5 linked regions of the Danio rerio genome follow. The protein of the gene in region 4 interacts with the protein of the main gene of each other region in a biochemical or structural test. Links are inferred from orthologs where the notes say so. Each region holds a gene or a part of one and is shown on either strand. Other genes may lie near its edges.

What was found.
Region 1: the proteins of cftr (region 4) and nherf4a form a complex in vitro, tested with the Homo sapiens proteins (2 studies listed by BioGRID and IntAct, with this or other methods). The link is inferred for Danio rerio from reciprocal best matches to the Homo sapiens genes CFTR and NHERF4.
Region 2: of the proteins of cftr (region 4) and stub1, one has a biochemical effect on the other in vitro, tested with the Homo sapiens proteins (4 studies listed by BioGRID). The link is inferred for Danio rerio from reciprocal best matches to the Homo sapiens genes CFTR and STUB1.
Region 3: the proteins of cftr (region 4) and caska interact in a test that uses a peptide from one of them, tested with the Homo sapiens proteins (2 studies listed by IntAct, with this or other methods). The link is inferred for Danio rerio from reciprocal best matches to the Homo sapiens genes CFTR and CASK.
Region 5: the proteins of cftr (region 4) and Na(+)/H(+) exchange regulatory cofactor NHE-RF2 form a complex in vitro, tested with the Homo sapiens proteins (4 studies listed by BioGRID and IntAct, with this or other methods). The link is inferred for Danio rerio from reciprocal best matches to the Homo sapiens genes CFTR and NHERF2.

The regions. Positions count from the first base shown.
Region 1 is NC_133190.1:25,927,891-25,931,408, forward strand, and holds part of nherf4a (Na(+)/H(+) exchange regulatory cofactor NHE-RF4), read right to left. Parts: intron 2,089-3,518; coding exon 1,884-2,088; intron 1,002-1,883; coding exon 865-1,001; intron 459-864; coding exon 254-458; intron 1-253.
Region 2 is NC_133199.1:43,372,092-43,376,114, reverse strand, and holds the start of stub1 (E3 ubiquitin-protein ligase CHIP), read right to left. Parts: upstream 2,802-4,023; 5' UTR 2,556-2,801; intron 1-2,555. UniProt on the Homo sapiens protein: E3 ubiquitin-protein ligase which targets misfolded chaperone substrates towards proteasomal degradation.
Region 3 is NC_133184.1:35,058,367-35,061,884, forward strand, and holds part of caska (peripheral plasma membrane protein CASK), read right to left. Parts: intron 2,628-3,518; coding exon 2,547-2,627; intron 2,460-2,546; coding exon 2,379-2,459; intron 2,297-2,378; coding exon 2,094-2,296; intron 1,843-2,093; coding exon 1,759-1,842; intron 1,575-1,758; coding exon of another isoform or gene 1,548-1,574; intron 1-1,547. UniProt on the Homo sapiens protein: Multidomain scaffolding Mg(2+)-independent protein kinase that catalyzes the phosphotransfer from ATP to proteins such as NRXN1, and plays a role in synaptic transmembrane protein anchoring and ion channel trafficking.
Region 4 is NC_133193.1:22,064,604-22,068,716, reverse strand, and holds the start of cftr (cystic fibrosis transmembrane conductance regulator), read right to left. Parts: upstream 2,812-4,113; coding exon 2,759-2,811; intron 23-2,758; coding exon 1-22. UniProt on the Homo sapiens protein: Epithelial ion channel that plays an important role in the regulation of epithelial ion and water transport and fluid homeostasis. Mediates the transport of chloride ions across the cell membrane.
Region 5 is NC_133178.1:11,806,908-11,810,425, forward strand, and holds part of Na(+)/H(+) exchange regulatory cofactor NHE-RF2, read left to right. Parts: intron 1-2,018; coding exon 2,019-2,261; intron 2,262-3,518.

The sequences.
Region 1 (3,518 bases), on a different chromosome or scaffold from region 4:
CATGATTAGCTCATTAAAAATTTGCGTTAACAAGCAGTTGGACAGGTGTACCTAATAAAGTGGCCGATGAGTGTATTTAGAAATACACATAAAAAATGCACATTAAATATATGAATATATCACAGATAGTAAACATATAAATACTAAATAAATTGTTTTTTTCTAATTTTTTGTAAACATTTTTAAAATGATGACGTTATAAAAATACTAAATTGTATTTTAGTTATAACCAAAGTTTTAGTAAACCTCTCACCAATGCGTCCTGATCGTAACTTCTCTTGCCTTAAGAGGAAGCCGTATCCCTGTGGTCCTTGAGTCAGGTGGAGTGTTTTTGGTCTGTAGGGCAGATTATGGGTTTCGGCAAAAGCAGGAATTATGGGTAATCCCATGCGATTATAAATCTCTTCACTCCTGCTGTCAATTACCAAGACGGTCAGATGCTTTTCACATTTCTTCACCTAGTGAGAAAAAAAAGGAAAACTCTAGCAATTCTGGTAGATAACAGACCCCTTTTTCCTACACCCCATAATGCTTAGTGTGAATTTTAATAGTAACTTCCGTTAAACTGTTTGTAATGAACTGTAAAACTGAATTGTTACACCAATTATTGTAAGACTTATTATAATAACAGCTTATTAGAATATACAACTAACTATCAACACATCATGAGTAACCTCCAAAAACTCTAAACAATAGTCTTTTCAAACCAATGAACACAGATGTAAATTACTGTACTATTGGGAATGCAAAGAGAAAATAATCAAAAACTAAACACAATGAACTCAAAACAGTTTTGATATGCTTGTGGCAATACAAATGTGCCGATAAAATACCATAAAAGATATTTATTAGGAGCACGCTTACCATTTTGGCCAGTGCTGCATATGAGATGACAGAAATCGAGACTCCATTGATCCAGATGAGCCTGTCTCCATTCTGGATGCCTGCTCTTTCCGCTGGACCATCAGTCACTGGGTTCAGGCGATATCGGCCTCGCGCTCCTGATCACACATATTCCATTAAATAAACAAGAGCTCACCAAAATCATTCATATAGAGTTGAAGTCAGAATTATTAGCCCCCCTGAATTATTAGCACCCCTGTTTATTTTTTCCCCCCAATTTCAATAATTCTGACTTCAACTGTATATATATATATATATATATATATATATATATATATATATATATATATATATATATATATATATATATACTGTTGAAGTCAGAATTATTAGCCGCCCTGAATTATTAACGCCCGTTTTTTTGTTTTTTTTCCCAATTACTGTTTAATGGAGGGAAGATTGTTTCAGCACATTTCTAAGCATAATAGTTTTAAAAACTTATTTCTAAAAACTGATTTATTTTCTCTTTGTCATGATGTCAGTAAATAATATTTTAGTGACAAAAGTGACATTTAAAGGCTTAACTAGGTTAATTAGGTTAACTAGGCAGGTTAGGGTAATTAGGCAAGTTGTTGTATGATGATGGTTTGTTCTGTAGATTATTGGAAAAAATTTGCTTAAAGGGGCTAATAATTTTGTCACAAAAATGGTTTTTAAAAAAATATATAACTGCTTCTTTTCCAGTCGAAACAAAACAAATAAGACTTTCTCCAGAAGAAAAAATATTATCAGACATACTGTGAAAATTTCTCTGCTCTTTTAAACATCATTTGGGAAGTATTTAAAAAAGAAAAAAAAAATTAAAAGGGGGCTAATAATTCTGACTTCAACTGTATATATATATATATATATATATATATGAATTATTCATTCATTTATTGATTTTTCTTTGGCTTAGTCCCTTATTCCAGTGCTTTAACTTATTTCACAATTGCTTAAAAATATTAGCAAGTCAAAAAAGTGAGCGACAGAAGCAGTACCTTCAATGGGAATGATGCTGAGGCCCAAACCACAGCCAGGCTCTTTAGTGATGTGGCATAACCGCGGGCGAGAGCAGCCCTCAGGACGATAAGATCTGGCAACGGACAAAAGGTCTCTTCCCTCTGAAACTGCAAACTCATAATCTTGAGCACTCAGAACTAACAGATAGAGCTTTAATCCAGACGCCTGCACCTTCAGCACCACCTGAAAACAACACACAGCTCAATATACACACACTAGTAAAGAGTGTTGGGGGTAATGAATTACAAGTAGCGCGAGTTAACAAGTAAATCAATGCATTACTTTCAAAAAATAAGTAGAAATATTTAAGTTATTTTTTTTATTAATTAGCTTTTAAAAAATAAGTTGCTGAATTGAAATGAAAGTAGTCACGATGAATCAAGCAGTCAATGAGAGCATGTGTTCATTATTTTGAGTGCATCTGAAAAAAAGGGGGATTTTACCCAAGGCTTTCACTCAACTGGTACAAAAGTAGCAAATACATTGCTTTAAATGTTTAATAATCTGTATATATGGCATGTATAGCTCTGGGGTCATGAGGTTCTCAGATAACATTATCCTAAAATATATATATCATTTTTTTAGGTGTTTTTTAAAGGTAAATGAAGGTGTAGGTTATACAGTGCGTTGTTAATAGCAGAACTCCTCTATTTAAAAAAAAAAAAAAAAAAAAGTCAGTTCTGTGGAGTTTTCATGTTCTCCCCGTGCCTGTGTAGGTGTCCTCCGGGTGCTCCGGTTTCCCCCCACAGTCCAAAGACAAGTGGTAGGTGAATTGAATAAGCTTGGCTGTGGAGCAAATGAGTGAATGCAAAAATGTATTGGTATTTCCCAGTGCTGAGTTGCGGCTGGAAGAGCATCCGCTGCGTAATATCATATGCTGGAAAAGTTAGTGGTTCATTATGTTGTGGCGACCCCAGATTAATAAAGGGACTAAGCTGAAAAGAAAATGACTGAATGTATATTTGTAATGGTATAACAGGTACACAGTAATAAGGACACTGTGAATTAACATTTTTGTCACTTACACTTATGTCAAGATTTGGTGATTTAATCGTACCTGCAGCCATGGTGGCGATACTCGAATGTAAACATTATCATTGCACGGTTATTGTACTACACATCATTCTGCCCATTTATGCTGTCTAAACCATATAGAGATTAAAGACTTACCAAGCAGGAAACTGAATTGAATTAGTGGTAAGAATTATGTATGACAGGTATTAATTAAGATATTAATGCCTTGGAAATCCTGAATCCTGAATCAGTATGGTCCAACACAAACATCTTTTGTTCCTCAGATTTTTATTAATTTATTTTTTTTTTATACCTTTTGGCAGTTTATACACTCAGAAGTAAAGATACGTGAGCTGTCCCTGGGGTGGTACCTTTTTTGAAAGATCCATATTAATACCTCAAGGGTACATATTAGTACCTATAATATATACTTTTGAGGGACCAATATGGACCCTTCAAGTACAAATGTGTACCTTACCCATCCAGCTGCGACCCAGTACTGGGGACCTCCAGGCCGACTTATGATTGGCTATAAAGTCAAACATTATGACACTCTATATAAAATGTGAACTTCTGAGTGTATTGTAAAAATGTGATTA
Region 2 (4,023 bases), on a different chromosome or scaffold from region 4:
ATCCTGAGCAGATATCAGGGCCGGAGTGGGACTCATTTTCAGCCCTGGAGTTTCAAGCCAGACCAGCCCACCTCGACTGATTACATTAAAATAAGGTCATTTCCAATTCAGTTTCTAATGACACTATCACATCTTTTTTGAGAAAACAGCTGCTTTAGAAATTCAAATGTTCAACAACCCTTACAGTATTATGTCATAAAAACGAAAAATAATAATAATAATTTTTCAGGTGAGATTCGAACATGGGTCGGAAGTTTCGCAACGCAACGTGCTTTCCACTGGACCACAATGGCGCTATTCCAGTGGGAATAAAAAATAAAGATTACACTGTGAACGGCAAGACATAGTATTACTTTGATGGCTAAATCATTTTCTCCTTTTAGATTTCTGATCAAGTTTTGTCAGATTTAATGTAGTAAATCATCTGATTTTCATTGAGCAGGTGTATTATTCATTAATATTAATTATTCAAATTCTTATAATCACTAAGGTGCCACTGTTTGGGGTCGAATGATTAGTTACATCATCATTAACGTTAGTAAACCTGCAGGCTGCATTTTGCTCACGGAGCAGCAAGAAAAAAAATAAATAAAAAGAGCGGCGCTGCGGCAAAATAATGAAAAACAAAAAAAAAGAGTGAGGCTATGGTCAAATTAATAAATAAATAAATGAAAAAAGTGTGACTGCTGAGAGTGCAAGCAGCTAGGGACACTGGCCCTCACGGCCAAAAAACGGACCGACCCACCAGGAATTCTCTCGGTTCGCCAATCCGGGCCTGGCAGATATTGTGGTTGTCATGGAGGAGCTGAGAGCATAAGACTGATGCCTGAATCACCCCAGTGACAAACAAGTCCTCACATTTATCAAGTGGGCCAGCCTGAACACACGCCGGTGACCTACTCACACTTGCATCTTCTCCACGATGGACATCCAGCGTTCTCCAGCCTCCGGCGCCTAGACTGCTTTTCTGCAGTTTGGTCAGAGGAGAAATGGTCGTGCCCAACAGAGCCGGTTTCTCTCCAGGTTTTTTCCTTCACTTCAATCACGTCAATTGGTGAAGATTGTTCCTTCGCTGTTGCCACTGGCTTGCTTGGTTTGGGAATTGTGGAGCTGCGCATCGATGGATTTGCTCTTCAGTGTTTGAACTCTCAGTATTGAATATTAAACCACACTGAACTAATCTAAACTGAACTCCAACTCTGAAAACTGGACTGACAGTTTACACTATCACTATATCACTATAATCTTCTATGTTAAGCTGCTTTAACACAATCTGCATTGTAAAAGCGCTACAGAAATCAAGATATTTTTCAATTAGCTACAGAACAAACCATCATTATACAATGACTTGCCTAGTTAACATAATTAAGCCTTTAAATGCTGAATACAAGTATCTTGCAAAAACTTGCACGACCCTCAATTGGTACTAATGGACCCAAAGTGTGCTAAAAAAATCTCCCCCACACCAATACACCACCACCACCAGCTTAAACCGCTGACACAAGGAAGGATGGATTCATGCTTTTATGCTGTTGACGTCAAATTCTGACCCGAGCATCTGAATGTGTCAGCAGAAATGGAGACTCATCAGAGCAGGCAACGTTTCTCCAATCTTCTATTGTCCAGTTTTGGTGAGTCTGTGTGAATTGTAGCCTCAGTTTCCTGTTCTTAGCTGACAGGAGCGGCACCCGGTGTGCTCTTCTGCTGCTGTAGCCCATCCGCCTCAAGGTTGGACGTGTTGTGTGTTCAGAGATGCTCTTCTGCAGACCTTGGTTGTAACGAGTGCTTATTTGAGTTTCTGTTGCCTTTCTATCAGCTGGAACCAGTCTGGCCATTCTCCTCTGACCTCTGGCATCAACAAGGCATTTGTGCTCACAGAACTGCCGCTCACTGGATATTTCCACTTTGTCGGAGAATTCTCTGTAAACCCTAGAAATGGTTGTGCGTGAAAATCCCAGTAGATCAGCAGTTTCTGAAATACTTAGACCAGCATGTCTGTTATCAACATCCATGCCACGTTCAAAGTCACTCAAATCCCCTTACTTCCTCATTCTGATGCTCGGTTTGACCTGCAGCAGATCGTCTTGACCATGTCTACATGCCTAAATGCATTAAGCTCCTGTCGGTGAGTGTATACTCTACATTTTTCTGATTTTGATTGAAATGTATTAACGTGCACCTTTTGTAGAGCTGCTGTTCATATAGTAGAAATGATTAAAATGAATTGTTTAATGTACATCACACACACACACACACACATCTGGACAACAGTAACACACATCTGGACACTGACAGTTGTGTGAAATCATTCATGACTCTTTATGCAGCTCTGTGAACTTAAAACACACACAATCCAACAGTTAATCACTAAAATTAAGCACTACCAACGAGTAAATGTAATTTCACGTCGATCAGAAATTAAACTCCTGTGCCTGACACATAAGCACATTCACACACACTTTACAAGCTAACAACCAGGTCAGCGCTGAGAATAAACACGCTTAGAGATTAAATCAGATGGTTTGAATATGAAATATGGATTATTTGAGGCGTACCGGGTTTGACTGCTGGACTGACGCCTGTCGTTAGCAAACCGGTAGCGACACTGGTGCTTTGATGATCACTTTTGGATCCCTGATAGCGAATGAAACGCGGCCAAACTCATATTCCGACTCGATCATGACATTAAGATGACAAATGTCCGACGTTTTCATCGGCGATCCTCAAAAACACGACATTTTACCCGCGGGTGTGAGACGCTAGCATCATGTTTCGGTTGTTTTGACTCTGCCGTCACTGTGACGTCGCCGGAGGTGACGATCGGAAGCTCGTTGCCAACGTAATAACGCCACCTGTCGGCGACGTGCAGGAGTTTAATTTCATAATAATAATAATTAGATAAAATATATAAATAAATATGAAAACAGTTATAATAATAATGCTTGATTATTATCATTATTTATTCTACATTTTACACGTTTTTTTCCGGTTACACATTTTAAAAAGTGTTCTAGAAAAGCATGTAATAAAAATATAAATAACTGACTTAATTTCTACTTCAGCATATAATTTTGAGCTTTCTAATGACTTTTAATTCTTATGACTTTAATACCTTATTTATAATTTTGACCTTTAAGTAACAGAGTAAGCCATAATTGCTCATTTTTTATTAAGAATTACAAAAAAAGTCTTAATTTCTTCTTTAAATATTTTTTTTCATGTAGTTATAGAATTTAGCTATATAATTTAATATAAAAATACATCAAATGTCTTTAATTCTCCTGTAAAAATGTGCATTTTGTATTTAATTTTTGTTTAGAGACATTTTAGAGTCACCCTAAAAAGCTGCATCATATTTTAGGTGCAAAACAATGAGTTTGCTAAAATGATGTGAATAATTTAATAATAAACATACTCAAATTCAGATTGCAATATAATTTCTTGCTGAACACCAAACACATTCAGAAAAATAATATATTAACATTAAAGAACAGTAAAAGAGTCACCAAACACCATTTCAGTTCATAAACCATATAATGCACTTAAATGAGGACAACATGAACAGTCGACAAGTAAGACAAGTAGAAAAAATACATGAATCAAAATGTGAATAATTATGATGATAATATATAATTCATTAGTGTTATCATCATTTTTACTCTACATTTTAGTTTTTTTGTGATTATTAATTTTAAAACTTTAAAAATGTTCAAGATAATGTGCTTTCTTATCACTTCTAATTTTGATTTAGGTATAACATTTCTTTTTTTTAATACCCTATTTATAATTTTGACCTTTAAATAACTCAGAGTAAGCCATAATTGCTCATTTTAATTAACATTTATGAAGAATGCCGTCATTTCTTCTTTAAATTTTTTTTTCATGTAATTACATAATTTAGTCATAGACTTTATTATAAAAATAAGTCAAATGTCTCTAATTCTTCTGTAAAAATGTGAATTTTGTATTCAGTTTTTGTTTAGAGATATTTTAAAGTCCCCCCAAAATAGCTGCATCATATTT
Region 3 (3,518 bases), on a different chromosome or scaffold from region 4:
AAAGAGAGCTACCAGTAGGCGTGGCCAACCGTCGCCATTTTGTTCGCAATTCATCGCACCAACGAGGGCATAACAAATAAGGGCGAAGAGGCGGAGCTACAGACACGGTTAATATTTCATTACCTGCGACTCGTTTGTGTTCTGACCACATGTGCTTGGTTATAGACTTTATCAATAAAGTGTTTAGACTTTTAAAAACACTATTGTAACACATTGTGCCACTAAACATTGTTCTTATGACGTTTTTTAACAAGAGGAAAACGCAAATTACATCCAAACACTTATCAGTCTGCGTTAGTAAATGCAAGGCTGCAAAATACAGATGAAATCCAGGCATAACACTGTATGACAACACTTCAGATGATTGTTCTAGAGCCTACAGCTAATAAATCTGTCAGATTCTGGAGTGCATTACAGTTCTAAATAAAAATAAAAATGATGAATGATCTGAAATAAAACAAACACAATGTGGGAGGTGTGCTCAAAGCACCCGCTGACTGCCTAGAGCTCAGACGTCTGCATAGGCTGCAGTGCATACCAGAGTGTGTGTGGTCCCGTGATGTGCGTTTTTCGCAATGTAGTGTGGACAGAGATCTTTTCAGAAACACTAAGTGAAAAGCCAGTGTGGACGCCGATTGTTTTAAAACTAAAACATAGTGTAATCAGGGCCTGACTCAGTGATGCTCTTATTACTGTATCCTTCTGGGCCTTAAAAGTGAAGTTGTAGAGGCAGAAAACCATTCAATTTGAATTGAAATGCATTCAGTTGTGTTCTGAGGATGAAAAAAAAAGTCTGAGGTGTATGGAACATTATGAGGATGAGTAATTAATGAGAGAACATTCGGGTGAACTATCTCTTAAAAACTGCAGTAGACTTAACACCCATTGCTAATAACAAGGGTTTGAGAATTCCACATGTACAACTTTACATTCAACCCTTTTGATCCCTAAAGTACATGAAGATCTATAAACAGGGCATTAGGCAGTAGGGAATGATGGAACTTGTTTATATATACACTACTGTTCAAAAGTTTGGGGACAATAAAATTTAATAATGTTTTTAAGCAATATCGCTTACGCTCATAGGGTCTGGATTTATTCGATCAAAAATACATGAAAATACTGTGAATTTATTTAGCAATTTAAAATGTAAAACAGTCTTCGATTTTTTTTTTAAGTTGACTTTATTTCTGTGATAACAAAGCTGAATAGTCTGCATCATTACTCCAAGTTTTTAGTGTCCCACAATCCTACAGAAATCATTCTAATAACATTTAAAAACACTTTACATTTTATGAAGCATTATAAAACTATTTATTTTTGTAACATTATAAATGTTTTTGCTGTTAAATGTGATCAATGCAATGCATATTTGCTAAATAAAAGTAATAACTTCTTTTATAAAACTAAACTTTTGAACAGTAGTACAGCTCCGACAGGTAATGGAACAGGGTTTTCTTAAAAACAGCCAACTGTCCGTTTGACCTTAGCTACAGAGGTCATGAATGGAGGTATTTTGGGATCTAAGCTGACAGCCTCATACTCACAGGCAGCTTCCTGCACCATCTGGGAAGCTGAGCGAGATGTAGGGAAAGGTAGAAGAAATTAAAATACATGCTAAAACACGATGCATGCAAAACAGAAAACAGATCAGCTGAAGACAAAGAAGGAAAGAAGTTAGATGGAGTTATTCTGCCAGTGAAGTGACTCATGCCGTGGCCTTTTGAGAAGTCCATGTATTTTGGATTCTGATCTCACCTCATTCATGCCAGGAGTGATAGTTGGTGCAGCTATGAAAACCACATAGGGAGCAAATTCAGCTGTCCGTAAAACCTTCAGTGCCTGAAGAGAATCAAACAACACAAGACTAAGGAATGCATTACATTCTTAAGCCAGCATAAAGAGTGTTGCTGTGCTGTGCTGAAAACCCCATAGCGCCTTTGTGTTGCTGATCACAAAATCTAGGTCTTTGAAATAAACACCAAAAACCAAAGCATATTTCTGGAAATCCATTAATGGTATTGCATAGCTAAAATGATCAACAAGGTTACTGTATGAGCAACTTCTCTCATTAAAAATCTCTAAACGTTCACCTGTGGCTCTACGTCCAGTATGGCTATGAGTCCCTGCTCATGGATTTTGCGTATCGTCTCCAGCCGTGTGCCGTACATCGCGTCCTCGTGGCTGCCGTACTCCAGGTAATCGTTGTTGGAGATGTCCTGCATCATTTGGTCATGTGAAACAAAGAAATAATTCTTGCCGTTCTCTTCATCTTTCTTTGGAGGTCTGGTTGTGTCTTTTGGAGCAGAAATAAGTTTGTGTTTACCCACTGATCAGGACTGGTGCACAATAATAAAGATTTTGAGAAAGCTGCTTACGTGGAATGGGATAAGCAAATCTGTCTGGGTGTTTGGTGATGAGTGTGTTCTTGATGTGTCTTCGGCCAACACCGTGAGCACCTGCCGGTCAGCAACAAACCATGAATGTAAGAGACGTGTGCTTTATGACAACAAGCAATGATTAAGAACTCTGATCAACATACTCACCTAGTAAAACTAATGTTTTCCTCTTGAACGCCGGCAACTTCACTACCTCCTCATATGTGACAAGATCTAGTTGATCAAACACTAGAAAAAACAAAGATTGTTATTTAATAGAGAGGAAGAATTGATTGTAAATATGTGGTATGTGGTTATTTAAATAAAAAAAGAGAACAAAAAGAGAGTTTTTTGGGGGGTAACGCCATTAGTAGTGTTTGGGTTTTCTCTCAGACTATGAGGACTGTGTGCATGTGTTTTGGCTGCTTATGCAAAGTTACAGGCCTGATGGGTGATTTGATATGGTGTCTGACTGTCATCAATCTCCACTGCAGCATGGAGGCTTCATTTATCGCTCTCTTCCAATGCAGCACACAGAGAAAAAAACATTCACACTCAGCCTATTCAAACCTGTCACCAAAATCAACCTCGGAGACATTTCTCATGCTCCTTTTCTCTATTTTTACTTCATTTTTATTATAATTTCAGTCAAACTAAAATTCAGTTCAACAATTTCAATACATTCAATATTTATTTTTTTTATTTTAATTCACATTTACAGAGCTTTTTAGTACAGAGCATTTGTTGAAATCTAAGAAAAATCATATAAATTACACTAAATTTGTTAGATGAGTAGAAAGTTCAGACATTCATTTGAATAAAATTCTAAATTTCTATGAAAAAATTGTGATTATTGTGATCTAAAATAAAGGTTAATACTAATGCATCTTCTGGGCATGCACAATGAGATTTAAAAGCTACAAATGAGATTGAAGATTATCAACTTTATTTCAGTCATCACCTGAGATTAAGACTACAGCAAACTTGGTTGTATGTTTACATCAATAGACTGAGGGATGTAAACAATAAAAATGGTTCTACCGTATTTTCAGTTGTACATTTTTAAATTTCAGAGTCCAAAAAGTTCCACAAATTAATAAATAATGTTATGACAGCAGTTTTAATGTTAAGCTATGAATG
Region 4 (4,113 bases):
TCTCATAATAGGGTTTGTCCACCTGTAAATATTCAGAGCAGATGTACAATATTTATTTACTATGAGGACAGTTAAGTGTAGTTATTTTCATGATTATTGTTGGTTTCAGCACAGAAACATTCTAGAGTCACGACTGGTCCTTAGACAATTCAAATAACCTTGTTGTTCTCACACAAACATTGTACTTTAATGCAACTCAAACAACTTTTTGTGATTTTTGTGGTCATGGTGTTATGCAGCTTTCTTTTATTATTGTGGTTATTGTGTTATGCAACTTTTAGTGATTTTTGTGGTCTTTGTGTTATGCAAATCTAAGTAACGATGCCTTTAAACATAATTGAATACTGATCTCAAAGAGAAGTGGCAGTGTATTGTTGCCGTGATTATCTCCTCGAGGCAACCCAATTTCTGTTTTTCAATCTGTGATATTCTTGTTGCAATAACTGTAATGTAACTTTTGAGGTTGAAAAAAGATTGATAAAAACTGTTGAAATATGTTAATATAAAAATTATGAAAACCTATTTCAACCATGAAAATGTAAAACTTTTAATTGCGGCATTTTACTTACAATTTTGACTTCATTTATTCATTTTCTTTTCGGCTTAGTCCCTTCATTAATCTGGGGTCACCACAGCAGAATGAACCGCCTACTTATCCAGCATATGTTTTATGCAGCAGATGGCCTTCCAGCTGCAACCCATCACTGGGAAACACATGCACACTTATTCACACACACATACACTACGGACAATTTAGCCTACCCAATTCACCCGTACCGCGTGTCTTTGGACTGTTGGGGAAGTCGGAACACCCGGAGGAAACCCAGGCGAAAACAGGGAGAACATGCAAACTCCACACACAAACGTCAACTGACCCAGCCGAGGCTCGAACCAGCGATCTTCTTACTGTGAACAGCACTACCTACTTCTTCTAAAAAAGTGTGAGTTTACATCTTATATCTCGAATTCTGACTTTTCTGATTTATGAATTTTTATCTTGCAATTTAAAATGATAAATGGTCAAACTGTACACCATTCTGACTTATTGAATCTTGAGAAAAATTATCAGAATTGTGGGAGATAAAGTCAGAATTTTCAGATATAATCTCAGAATTCTAACTTTTTTCTTTATTGTACATCTACATTTCTGAATATGAGCAATATTTGAGTTAATAACTAATGTTTCAATTCAATTACTTCATGTTTATTTTTATAGTGCTTTTATTGTGTCAAAGCAGCTTCACATAGTTCTAGTAAAGTCCAAGTCTAAAGTTGAGTTTAGATCAGTGTGGTGAACAAAATCAAGAAGGTATGTTTGAAAATTGTCAGACATACCATTCTGAAACCTTTTTATGAATGTAATCATGTACAATCAAAATAGCCACAATTGCAAGAAAAAAGTCTCAATTTTGAGATGTAAACACAGAATCTTGAGGAAGAAATATTACAATCAAGGAAGATGAACAATTTGGAATTTTGAGGTATAATCTCAGAAATTAAAACTCTTCTCTTTATTTCAGAGTTTATTGTTTATTTGAATTTCCAAATCTAAGCAGTATATTGCAGTTCTGACATTTTTCTCACAACTTAATTAATATTTCACAATTTAGTTAACAAAAAAGAAAAACAGAATTATAATACTTATTCATTCATTCATTTTTTTTTTTTTTTGGCTTAGTCCCTTTATTAATTAGGGAATCGCCACAGCGGAATGAACCATCAACTGAACCAGCATGTTTTACGCAGCGGATGCCTTTCCAGCCGCAACCAAAAACTGGGAAACACCCATACACTCTCAATCACACACATACACAACGAACAATTTAGCTTATTCAATTCACATTTAGTGCATGTCTTTGGTCTTGTGGGGGAGACCAGAGCACCTGAAGGAAACCCAAGCCAACACGGGGAGAACATGCAAACTCTACACGAAAATGCCAACTGACCCAGCCAGGGCTTGAACCAGTGACCTTCTTGCTGTGAGGCTATCATGCTACTCACTCCGCCACCATGACGCCCATATATACACTTATACTTTTCTAATTAAAAATCTCAAAAAAGTCAGGATTATGAGATATAATATTAGAGCTTTTTCCAGCACTTTCAAGTTTAGGCTACATTGTGCAATTCTGAAACAAGTTACGAATGTCATATGCAATAAGTAGATATCACAATAAAGTTTAAAAAACAGTAAGAATTTCATTGCAAAAATTCTGAATTATAATGTCAGAACTGCAAGAAAAACCAGAGAATTTTGAGGCATAATGTCAGAATTCTTACTTTTTTCTTTAATTCTGAGTTTCTCAATAGGCAATATCGTGCAGTTTTGACATTTTATGTCGGAACTCTTGAGTTTGTATCTAAGAATTTAATTATCAAAAAATAAAAAATAAATAAATAGAGAAAAACAGAATTGTCAGATAATTCTGATTAAACTTCAATAAAGAACAGCAAAACATATCAGAACTCCGACTTTTGCCCTGCAGTTTGGTTAAACTGTTTCGCAAATCTGGAGAAAAATATGTACAGTATCATGAGCAGTCTAGGTAGCTAGATATCACATATAATAAAGCAAATATCTACTATAAACACCCTTGTCATTAAGCATTTTGTTTCAAGTCTTGTTAGGCTGTATACAATAAATAAATCATCTACACTTAAAAAAATGCAGGATTCCACACAATATGCTCTCCCAACAAATTTAAGAAGATGTAACAATTATGTTGTCCCAAAAGAGGTCTCAAGAATTGAGTCTTACCAAAAGAAGTATCTGGAGAGGCAGTTGGCATCCTCCACAGGTGATCTCTGCATCCTAAAAAGTACCCCGGGGGTGAAAGCGCTCACATCGGGTTACGGGTATCAGCTCAACGCCTCTCCGCTGAGTGAAGATCGCTTTCCTCCACCGAGCGCGACCGAGCGCTGATAACGTCGATATTCGCAGCCAGTATTTAGACAATAAAAGGAAAAATTCTCGTGTCTCAAATCGCTAATGAGAAGTAAGGCGCTTATAAAGAGCCCATAGTGACAGGAGCGCTGCTGTGATTTAGTGAGAGAAGTGCGCTCTCTCAAGCCCAAACGCCACAGATCCTCTGGGCATGTCATCCTCAAACTGTCAGTCTTTTACAGAGATGCTCACGTGTTGCTTTACAAGAGCAAGTGGTGTGTCATCATGAGAGAATTCTCGTGGTGTTTGAGGGAGGACGTCAATGCTTTTGACACATGAACGTCAAGTGCAGCTATTGTTTAATTTGAAGCTATTGTTTCCTGATTCCATCATGCTTGGTACTGGGAAAAATACGGAAATTAAAAATGTTTAATAATAATAATAATAATAATAATAATAATAATAATAATAAAAATAATACTAATAATAATAATTTATTTAATTAAAATAAACCAAATTTATATATTTCAATTTAAAAATAAAATAAATCATAAAGTGTTTATTTATCCTTGTGTTGGATTTTCAGCATCAGTGTTGCATCATCTTTCAGAAATTATCCTAATATGCTGAAACATTTCTGATTATTATCAATGATGAAAACAGTTATGTTGCATCTTTGTGGAAACAATGATATACTACTCAAAAGTAAACAAAAAAATTAAAAATATATATTCATTCATACAAAAAGGCATGTATCATCGTGCATTTTGTTTATTTATGCTTTTTGACTAATTTTACACTGTAAAAAATTATACAATCAATTATTCCTGACAGCATATGTTTTAGGTCATTGTAACTTATATCATGTTCTTACTTTATTTTATACGTTTCACAAGCCGTTTTAAGTCAGTTTAACATAATATCAGTTCAATGTACCCATAAGGTTAAATTGATTCAGCTAAAAATTTTAAGGCAACAAAGATTTTTTTACAGTGTACTCAACCAAAAATTCTGAAAAGTAAAATGTAAAATTTCCGCAAAAAAGCATGAAAACTTTTAAAACACTCATAATAAGTCCCATTATTGAATGACTGATATTACATTATAACTGCTTATAACACAGAGGACTAAAGACTAAAATGAGGAACTGTTATTTTAAATTGAACGTTTTTAATTGAATCCCAATATTAAACAAAATAAAGAATAGTTATTAAGTCAAACTAGAAAGA
Region 5 (3,518 bases), on a different chromosome or scaffold from region 4:
AACTGTCACTGGGTCACTGACAGAGACAGAAACATCAAGTGTTGTCTAGTATTAAAAACATACTTCTTATTTATTATTATCATTCAGATCGTGAAATATGTGAATTTTGTGATTTGTAATTCGTGAAATGTGATTTTAAGACATTGATTTTAACATATAAAGCGGTTCATGGTTCGGCTCCAGTCTACGCTCTGCCTTGAGTCTTACGCTGTTTCAGCCTCGCTGCAAACTCAGCACCATGGGAGGTAGGCCATTCTCTTTCCGTGCTCCCAAACTGTGGAATGCTCTTCCCACTAACATTAGGAGTGCCGGATCATTTGATGCTTTTAAAAAGCTACTTAAAACTCATCTTTTTAGGTCTGTTTTTAATTTGTGATATCTTTTATTCTTACTGTGTTTTTTTATTGCATTTTTTTAATTGTTTACTTGCTTTGTTGTTTTTACTTTCTTGTAAGCGCTTTGGGTTTTAGAAAAGCATGTTATAAATAAAATGTATTATTATTATTATTATTATTATTATTATTATTATTATTATTATTATTATTATAACTATTATTATTATTATTATTATTATTATTATTATTATTATTATTATTATTATTATTAATAATTAGCCTGTAAGTTTAAAAATATATATTTATAAATGTGTCATTTAATTAGAAAAGTGGCAGTTTACTTATTTAATACATGGAAACAAAAAATGAATATAGAAGGGTTTTTTTACTACAGTAAACAGGGGGGTTGAGCCTATTTGGCATATTCAGAACTCAAATGGTTACTGTATGTCTGTCTATGTAATACAGTGGAGTACTAGCATACAAAAACACATTTCTACTCATTTATTCATTTTCTTTTGAGCTTTGTCCCATTATTAATCTGGGGACAGTGGAATGAACCGCCAACTTATCCAGCATATGTTTTACGCAGTGGATGCCCTTCCAGCTGAAACCCATCACTGGGAAACACATTTCTACTTTAAAGAGGAAAAAAAAATACAAAAGAAAAATACCAAACAAGTTCATAACATAGTTGATCAAGAGTGCCTTTCAGACAGAGGTTCAGCAGCATTTGTTCTTTTTAAAAGGGAAATACTTAGCTAATATGATGCTTAGATTTACATTAGACAAATACAGTTTTTGTAAACGTATTGTTATTTATTTATTATAAATAAATAAATAAATGTATTTATAAATTTATTTATTTATGTATTTATTTATTTTTTATTAATTAATATTTATTAAATTTATTTATTTATTTATTTATGTATTTATTTATTTATTTATTTATTTATTTATTTATTTATTTATGTATTTGTACATAACATTAATTAATAAATTAATTTATTAATACATTTATGTATTTATTTATTTTTAATTAATTAATTAATTATTAAATTTATTTATTATGCATGTATGTATGTTTGTATTTATTTATTAATTAATTAATTTATTTATTTATTCATTCATTTATTAATTCATTGTTCTGTCATTTGTTTTCAGTGTAAAATTATTACTTATTACTAGGGCCAGACAGAATCTGCGGACGTTTTTTGCTATTTCTGCGGAGAATTTTGGTAAAAATCTGCAGATTTCTGCGGAATTATTTTGGGAGTATCCAGCGGAGTATCATAACTAAAGCCTTAATATATGAAATAAAAAGTAATAATTTACTGAACAAAAACTGAATAAATGTAGATTTACACATTTACTCAAGTAAATAAACTGAATTAATGATGGGCTAGAAATCTGCGGAAAATCTGCGGAATTCTGCACGCGCAGATTCTGTGTGGGGCTACTTATTACTTACAACTAGTAGTGTTTTGAAATTAATGAATGTATAATCTAGACAACTGTGATTATTCCTCAGACTATACATGTACAATCAAAAACTGTAATCGTTGCATCCCTATAATACACTTTAGTATGGTTCAAAAACACTTTACTATTAAATAATATAGTATTTCTTAATGTGGGGACCCATAAGCAGTTTTTCTAAATGTGCATTTCTCTTGTCTTCAGGTGGTGCAGCGGATTAAAGCTGTGGAACATGAGACCAGACTGCTGGTGGTTGACAGAGAGACTGATGAGTATTTCCGCAGTCTTCGTCTCACCTGCACTGAGGAAATGGCCATCCGGACGAGCCCCACAGCCACGACCCCTTCACCCTCACCCTCCACCAGTAAACAGGGCAATGGATCAGTGTCCAAACGGAGCGAGATCTCCAAACCCATCAGGAAACCTCCGTCACGAGCTCTCAAGAAGGTGCGGAATCCTCTACATACACTCTTAGAAAAATGATAAAGATTCTATTTTAGAATCCATGTTCCAAATCTGTCATTCCATTTCCATTCTTTGGAGTTTTAAAAATGTTCTTTACAGAATGTACTTTTCGCTGAAAGTTCTTTGGACAACCAAGGATGGTTCTTCTATGACTATAGCTATGTTTTTATCCACCTTATTTTTATGCACATCAGTTAAGGTTAAGGTTAGGGCTGGGGTTAGGACATACATTTTGAAAATACGCTCAAAACACTAATGCTCTTTAATGAGTAGGAAACTTTTTACTCAATATAAATAAAATAGCAAGTCATTTATTCTATAAGGAAAAAAGTCTTCAGTGGCTTCTAATATATCACAGCAAATTCCGTTTTTCTTTTTGATATTTACCGCCACTTTATCAGGTAATTATGATTTAGTTCACTTTGAGTCACTGGATGTAAACGGTGTTAAATTTGCAAATGATTTACTTGATGTTCCAGTTTGGGCACAAGTTTAATTCACATCTTTAGATGGAAACATAGCTAATGTTATGTAAACATGCTTTTGGAACATCATTAAAGTGGTCTGTTTTGCCGTCGTCTGATATTAGCTTTCAAGTAGTGTGCAATGTAGCTGTTTTTCTATATGAAGAAGCAATTCTGAACTGCTGAAATGAGTCCTCAGCAACACACATATGTAGATTTTTATAGTTTTGCATAAAGCCAGTCGTCATAAAGTTGGTGAATGTCCCTTAAACTCTGCAGCTGTAGATGATGTCTGGAAGAGTTTAGTTTGTCTTGTGTTGAGAAGGATGCTGTTTTCTGTGCCTGCATCACATCTAAATGATAGGAATTTGGTTTGGTTGATATGGTAAAACCAACACCATCATTACTGTTTGTAAAACTGTTTGTAAAACTTTATTCATGCCAAAATTAAAAGTCTTTTGAAGCAGTGGTTCCCAACCTGTTTTTGCCTGAGACCCCCTTTTCCCCCCTGAAAATATTGTAAGCCCCTCTCCACATTTAATGATATAATCGCTCATATAAGTTTGCAGTAATGATGATAAAAATGTTGTTTTCAAACAAATGGTATGTTTATTACTATATGTAGATATTTTTATGCATTAAGATAAGCCTAATGTTTTCCCAGTGAAGGGTTGCAGCTGGAAGGGCATCCGCTGCGTAAAACATGTGCTGGATAAGTTGGCGGTTCATTCCGCTGTGGCGACCCCGAATTAATAAAGGAACTGAGCCAAAAAGA